2 linked regions of the Mytilus edulis genome follow. The protein of the gene in region 1 binds, or shares a complex with, the protein of each later gene. Links are inferred from orthologs where the notes say so. Each region holds a gene or a part of one and is shown on either strand. Other genes may lie near its edges.

Region 1 (3,760 bases):
GTACTATGGACACATTCTTGTTTTACTATAAGTCAAAAATGCTTTGAGCAATTTTCACGAAACTTAGAGAATCGTTTATACTTTAGTATATACATATACATATAATTGACACAATTTTCTCGTTCGATTTTAAAAACGAATCTGAATTAACGTTTTGGAGTATTTGAACTTTATTCATAAAAAAGGGGGAACTTTCCAGCTACCGGACAATAACTGAAAACAGTTTCCATAAAACTTTGGAGATTTATTGGTCTGATTTGACATAGCTGATTTATGAAACCTTGTTCGAAGAGCTAAAATAGTGACAGGTGCATCATGCGCAGATGGCGCAGCTCATTATGATAGACAGTTCTTGTTTCAGCTGTATATTATGATATGCTTTGTTATCTATTCTTATTCATATTATCTGCAGATGATGTCATAGTTTGGGTGATTTGTTAGATTTTGTTTCAGCGGTACTTAAAATGGCCCGAGAACACAGATATTCCGTAGTGCACTTCTTTTAGACAATAAATTCAAATTAAAAAAATCGAACCTGCTCTATCTCAATAAGATTGTTACAGTGTAGTGTTTTACTAAGTAGACAAATGATAACAAAGTTATAGAAAGTTCTACCAACTCTTACTCAAAATATTGACAATTCTGTGTTTAGGGGTTTAAAATTCAGTTTGATATATATAGCTTTAGACGTACTAATTTTTGACCTTTTTTTTACTGGATCAAATCACTACTTATCATAAAGATTTAGCACCCATTTTTTAACAGGCAATTTCATCCCCGTACTTAATATTTAATGCATAAATTATCAAGAAATAAAATGTTAAAATGTATCCTAAAAAATGGAAGTTGTATATCTACACTTTTCGAACTATATTTATCCTTTTCTTCTTTTTTTTAATATAATTTGGTCGAGTGTGCAGGTTTGTCTGTCTTAAGTGTCTGTATCATGTGAAATCAGAAAACATCTAAATAAGGTCGAGTTTATAAAAAGTGGACGAGTTTGACATATGTTGGTCGAGTAGGCCTAGGGCGATTTAATAATGGGACGAGTTGTTCATAATTGCGGCAGAGAAATCCCGGAAACCTATTCCGGCTGTGAATAAACTTTTAGTGTGGTCTGTACAACTTCCTTCTGTTCGGCGTGATTTTGTTGAAAACAAAAATACTCTTACATTTTCCCACTCCGTTGTTTAAATAACAATGGACATCAAACGAAAAGCAGGAGACAGTGCCATGGTCCCTTTTAAAAAGCCAAGAACAGATCTGGTAGCCTATGGGTCTCAAGAAAAATCAGTATTGCAGATGGTAATTGCCTATAAATTTTATTGCATTATCTACAGTGAACGAAGAAAAGGATCTGGGAGTAACTTTCGAGTCTAATTTGAAATTTGAAAAACATATAAGTGATATTTATAACAAAGCCCAAAGAGTGCTGTCTCTTATCAATCATTCTTTTGATTACATGGATCAAGATATGTTTCTTACTATTTATAAATCAATAGTTCGTCCACTGCTAGAATATGCGACATGCGTCTGGTCACCGTATCTTAAAAAAGACATTCGCAAATTGGAATCTGTACAAAGAAGGGCCACAAAGCTGTTAAAAAATAATTGTCATCTTAATTATGAAGACAGGTTACGTTCATTGGGTTTGCCAACTTTGGAATATCGTAGGGATAGGAATGATATGATACAAGTCTACAAAGCGTTGCATGGTATAGATGACATCGACTGGATGAGCCTATTTACTTTAGCACCATCTAATAATACTAGAGGTCACTCATTAAAACTTTTTAAAAAAACAGTGTAAGACCACACATAGACTAAATACTTTTTCAATTAGAGTAGTGGATCAGTGGAATAACCTGTCAGATTTAACGGTGACGGCAAAGACTCTGAATAGTTTTAAGTCTGCATTAAATGGCGTAAATTGGAACCTATATAAATTCATATGTTCGTGTTAAGTGTTTCAGCTGCGCACACCTAAATAAGTATTTTTTGATAAGTTTAATATATTATATATAAATCAATTACAAACGAAAGTGAACCAACGCCTGGTGAGTCTGTAGTACGGTAGAGTCCATAAAGTGGATACCCGAGGGTATGCAGGGTCGTTATGATAAAAACATAAAATGTAGAGAGTCTTATTATATATAAATATATTATAATGAGATGAGAAATCATATACGACAATCCAAGATGAGGGGTCAGTAGAAGCCTTTGGCTTATGTAACGACCCGAAGATAAAGGTATAAAGGTATAATTTCTGTCGTCCAATAAACCGGCTTTTTAAAAAAGTTTTATATTTAAGTTCTAACCCTTCTAAAGGGTTACCCTAGCTATTGACCCATGCATAGTATATTCTAGTCCCAGATTACTCTGAGCATGCTGAGGTCCTCAATCTTAAGGCCTATTAATATTTTAATTGTTATACATGTATGTATAACCGACTTTAAATAAATCTTTATTAAAAATGTAGCACAAAAAATTTGTCGCAAGGTGCAGATTTTCTCCTTTGCGCCAGACAAGCTAGGGCAAATCTGCTGTATGGTGTCCAAATTATTTAGCCTTACTGGACGCAATTACGACTGGACACGATTTTTAATGTTTGGCCCCTGATATTAATATTTATGCATGATAATTGATAAATGATTCTATTAATAAAAAATCCACTACATTACTTGTGTTTTCATGAAAAAAAAGTTCATGTGCAATTGGTTAATGTTGCAGACGATGAAAAATTCAATTTCTTAAATGTCAAAATAATTACTCCCTCTCTTAGAAATTGCATGAATAAAGCACACTAGCTAGTGCAAATTGCCTTCTTTTGTCTTAATATAGATAGAAAAATATCTCCTGAATCTGTTCATATGCGTGATGTTCTTAATCTTGTCCAAATAATCCAAAAATGAACGTTTTCTCAGACTCTCATGACCCTGGGGCCAGGGCATTGTCAGAAGAAAATAGTATTTTTAATAAAAAGTCCGGAGAACTCTGAAAGTAATGGTTAAATATAAATTAAAATCATAGGTTCACTAACTAAAAGGAGAATTCAGTGCATCTTAGACGAAACAACTTTCATAAAAACAAAAAAATCCAAAATACATTGTATTTCCTTTTTAAAGATTTTTTTTTGTCACTAATTTTGTCTGCAACTACTGCTGAAGAATTTGAAGTAAAATACCATATTACACTTCTTATTTTCTTAGGAAATGTGTTTAAGATAAGATTAATGTAGGTTTCATTAATTTAGATCGGTTGCCAGATCTATATATAAATATAGTGCCCTTCATAATTGCGTCCATATTGGGCTTGCTAGACCCATAAAACCAGGTCATGCAAATCTTACTAAAGTATCCAAACGTAAATAGAAAATTATGTGTGTTATGACTCAAAATGAAAGCCTTCATACATCTTTAATTCTATGGTACAAACAATTCACGAAAAGTATGCTACAAAGAAAAAAAAAATTTAAATTCAAAAATCGTTCGTAACTGTGTCCGGTGAGGCTAGGGACTAGGTATAAGATTATGTGAAACCATAAGGTTTAATTTTACTTTTATTAATTTATTTTTTTTGTTGTTTTTTTTTTACTTCTTGATGTACTCATACATGTACATCCTACATTTTGTATTTAATTCAAGAAGATGTAGCTTTCATTTTTAAATTGTACATCATGTACATGTAACAAAATAATAACTTGATACTTTCATGAATAGTTTAAATTTACATGGGATAAATCATCATAATTAACAAAAGA
Region 2 (3,760 bases), on another chromosome or scaffold:
TTTCACGATGTTTTAATGTTGTTGAAGAACTGAAATAATATCCTCAGATATCGTAGATTTTAATAGAAACATTGATTTCAACTGTTAAGAACGGCAAATAGCGTAAAATTGCGGCTTTTATTGGGACAATATTTATGTATCCTGAAAGATACACTCGCCCTGCGCATCGTGTATCCTCAAGGATACATCCGCCCTGCGCATTGTGTATCCTCAAGGATACACTCGCCGCGAAAGGGTTAAAATTAGAAAGATCATATCATAGGGAACATGTGTACCAAGTTTGAAGTCGATTGGACTTCAACTTCATCAAAAACTACCTCGACCAAAAACTTTAACCTGAAGCGGGACAGACGGACGGACGGACGCACAGACCAGAAAACATAATGCCCCTCTACTATCGTAGGTGGGGCATAAAAATGAAATTGGTATTGCGCGTTCCTTCCTATTTTATACTAGACTGATAAATATATATTTTACTCAAAGTTTCATACAAACGAGACCGGAAAAAGGAAGTACATTGTACATTTCCGCGCAGGTCCGGGATTTCAAAACACGACAAAAAAAATTTGAACGATTTTGAGTTCATTAGTACAATGAAAAATTCGGGAAATTTTCCCGAATTTTTTTTTTAATTGAATTTTCTACTGTTATTGGGGACTTCGTCCCCATATAAATTTGCAATGAAAATTAGAGTAGACTCGACTTTTAACTAAACTATATATTCTGGAAAATGATAATGAATCCCCTCTACTACAGACTTCTGTGCAAGAACTGAAACTGGTAATTTAAATCTCATATGCAATAGTAAAGGTTCTAAATGCTATTACAGTATATATATTATGAATTTATGATAAATAATAGTGTGTTAAACTTACCTTGGAAATATTTTCCACATACTAAGCATGCATACACATTGATGTGGGACAAGGACACAGAACATAACTTCTCAAAGTCAAAATCAAGAACAGATCTAAAACAAAAAATTTATCAATATAAACCTGTAGTGTTAAAATCTTGTAAGTATAAATTATGCTTCTCATTCATTACTACTATTTTTTTCCCCTTCTAAACAATTCAATTTTGAAATAGTTGTTCAATAATTCATAAACAACTACTGCTGAGTCTGTCTTTCAACACATCTCCAGAGTCAAACAATGAACATGAAAATCAATCAAAGAACTTGAAAAGTATACCATTATTACCCTTGTCCAACAGTGAACATATAAATGGTTTCTGGACAGCATTCAACCAAAAACATTAAAATTTGAAATCAATAAGTTACAGTACATTGTAAATTTTTACAAACATGACCAATACTTCAATTAAAATCAGCAAAATGATGAATTTTGTATAGATTTTTTTATTGAAGATAAATCACCTGAATATTTTGATTGTTGTTTTTTTTCTTGCCACTTCTAGACATAAAATATTGTTTATGGAAAGTAGAATAATATTTGTTCTTACCTATTAATAGTGTCCAAATAAGGACAGATTCTGCTTCTGTCAACTTTAGGGTCCTGTATTGCCGCTACAATATATATGTTTATCATAATTATCTATCTATAAATCATGCAGAGTAAAGCAACCAACAATCAATCAATCTTTCTATAAACATGTGTGACAGGGGGACATTAATTTTTATTTACAATGGAGTGCTACAATGTAACAGAAAGAGCAAATTTACCTGTGTGTAATGTGAGTAATCTTTAATGTTTCCTGATCTTTTAAGTACATTAATTTGTTGTTAAGATAAAAAAATTTGACATCAATCATGAAAAATTAGTTATACCACTGATACATAACTTTCAATTCGTCATGCTTTGCATTGGCAATAGCCAATTTTGTCCGGTATGGAACCAGTCTACGATTGACAAAGGGAAGTAATTTGTTTAAAAAGTGTGCAATAACAGAATCAAATCGGTAATTGGCAAATGGACTATTGAATTCATTCATTGGCAACTCAAGCAATGTCTAACTTGGGTTTAAGTTCAATAACTTTTTCACTTTACAACAGAAATAAAATGACTAAGGGTCAGAGTTCGAAAGCAGGGTGGGTTGAGTAACCGTAAACAGACAATTTTTTGGGAGCCTTATGAGGATGTTATGAAACCCCTTACCATATATATATCATTTTTTAAGTTTTACCAATAAAAGACCTTTTTAATATACCTATTTCCTCATCTTCTTCTTCAATCTTCACTGTTGTCTTTTTACTTGTACTTTTTATTGGTGACTGCTTTTTATCTGCTGATGATTTGGATTCTGTACCCTTTCCTTTTTTCACCTTCTCTTTCTCCTTCTTTTCACTCTTTTTGTCAGATTTTCCAGATTTTTCAGCAGCAGTTATCTCTTTTTTTACTTCTTTTCTTGATTTTTCACTGCCTACAGCTTTATCTGGACTTATTCCACTTTTAGCAACATCTGAAGGGTCTTCGTTTCTTTTAGGTTGGATTACATCAGACTGTCTATTGTCTGAAATTGGCTTGTTTTTTTGTTGACTAGGAGATTTTTCAACCTTAGATGACGAGTCTGTTAGTTTCTGGTCACTGACAACTGTCACCTGGCTGGCAATACGAGATCCCGATTTTTGTGTAGGCTCTTGTTGTGCCTTTGAATGCTCTTCGACAGATGAATCGAGTTTTGGCTTTTTATTTTTTTTAAGAATTGATTTCATGGGGTTGTCATCGTCTTCTTGGACAGTTTCTGGTACATGAGTACGCTTTAATATCGCTCTTGATGAACTTTTTAATTTCGTGCTCAGTTCGTTCGCCGCCATGCCGATATGTGGATGTGAAGTACGTCATTGCATTTGTATAATTCTGATAATTAGTAAACCAATTCCGGAATTTATGAACCGGATTTTGCCTTGTATTAGTTCTCGATTAACAATATAATTATATTGGATTTATTTCCAAGTGCTCCAATATTGGAGGGATTTACGTAAGAAGAAGAAGAAGAATTAGCGATAAAGTGTCAAAATAACTAAATATGGTAAACTGTTTACTTATTGTAAAGAAAACATCAAATACGAATAAAAGTTAAATATGTAAAAAAAGAAAAAAGTGGAACAAAATATATATATAGACATAGAAATTGCCAATGTTTCTAATAACATCACTCAGAAAATCAAAGTTGAAAAGAAAAGAAACATCAAGTTTATTAGATGCTATAATTGTCAGTGTCTTGGCCATCCTGCTAACCAGTGCCAGGACAAAAAACATTGTCACAACTGTGGATCAAATTCCTGCTCAGAAACTTTCTGTACAAAGCCAGCTACCTGTAGAAACTGTCAACAAAATCATAAATCGTCATCATCTCACTGTCCAGCCTTCATCAGATTTATCAACCAACATAAATTTAAAAACTGTATCTAACCATATATATATATTCAACATGAAAATCCTTTTCCTTAATACTCAATCTTTTAAAACAGCAACTGGACTCAAAGAAATTTGTGAAAAATATAATGTTGACATCTTATGTATTAATGAATCCTTTGAATCTGAAAAAAATCCACTCTCATTTGGTTATTGGAAACCAATAACATCACCTAGACCAAATAAAGCAAGGGGAGGATCTGCAATATTTTTAAAGCCAAGCAATCATTTCATAGGACAAAGACAGGAACATTTGGAACTAAAAGACATTGAAATGGTCAGTATCGAGGTAAAAGACAGCAAAAACAAAACATTTCATCCGTACATCCCACCAGAAAAACCAGAGTTAATGAAAAAGCTTTGTACACATATTGAACAACAAA

Evidence for each region. The genes of interacting proteins can lie anywhere in the genome.
Region 2: U5 small nuclear ribonucleoprotein 40 kDa protein-like (region 1) and ubiquitin carboxyl-terminal hydrolase 39-like share a complex: the UniProt entries of both Homo sapiens proteins name them as parts of the U4/U6-U5 tri-snRNP complex. The link is inferred for Mytilus edulis from reciprocal best matches to the Homo sapiens genes SNRNP40 and USP39.

Annotation. Positions count from the first base shown.
Region 1 is NC_092355.1:11,840,385-11,844,144, reverse strand, and holds the start of U5 small nuclear ribonucleoprotein 40 kDa protein-like, read left to right. Parts: upstream 1-1,101; 5' UTR 1,102-1,200; coding exon 1,201-1,305; intron 1,306-3,760. UniProt on the Homo sapiens protein: Required for pre-mRNA splicing as component of the activated spliceosome. Component of the U5 small nuclear ribonucleoprotein (snRNP) complex and the U4/U6-U5 tri-snRNP complex, building blocks of the spliceosome.
Region 2 is NC_092352.1:16,013,187-16,016,946, forward strand, and holds the start of ubiquitin carboxyl-terminal hydrolase 39-like, read right to left. Parts: upstream 2,814-3,760; 5' UTR 2,777-2,813; coding exon 2,170-2,776; intron 1,529-2,169; coding exon 1,465-1,528; intron 971-1,464; coding exon 876-970; intron 1-875.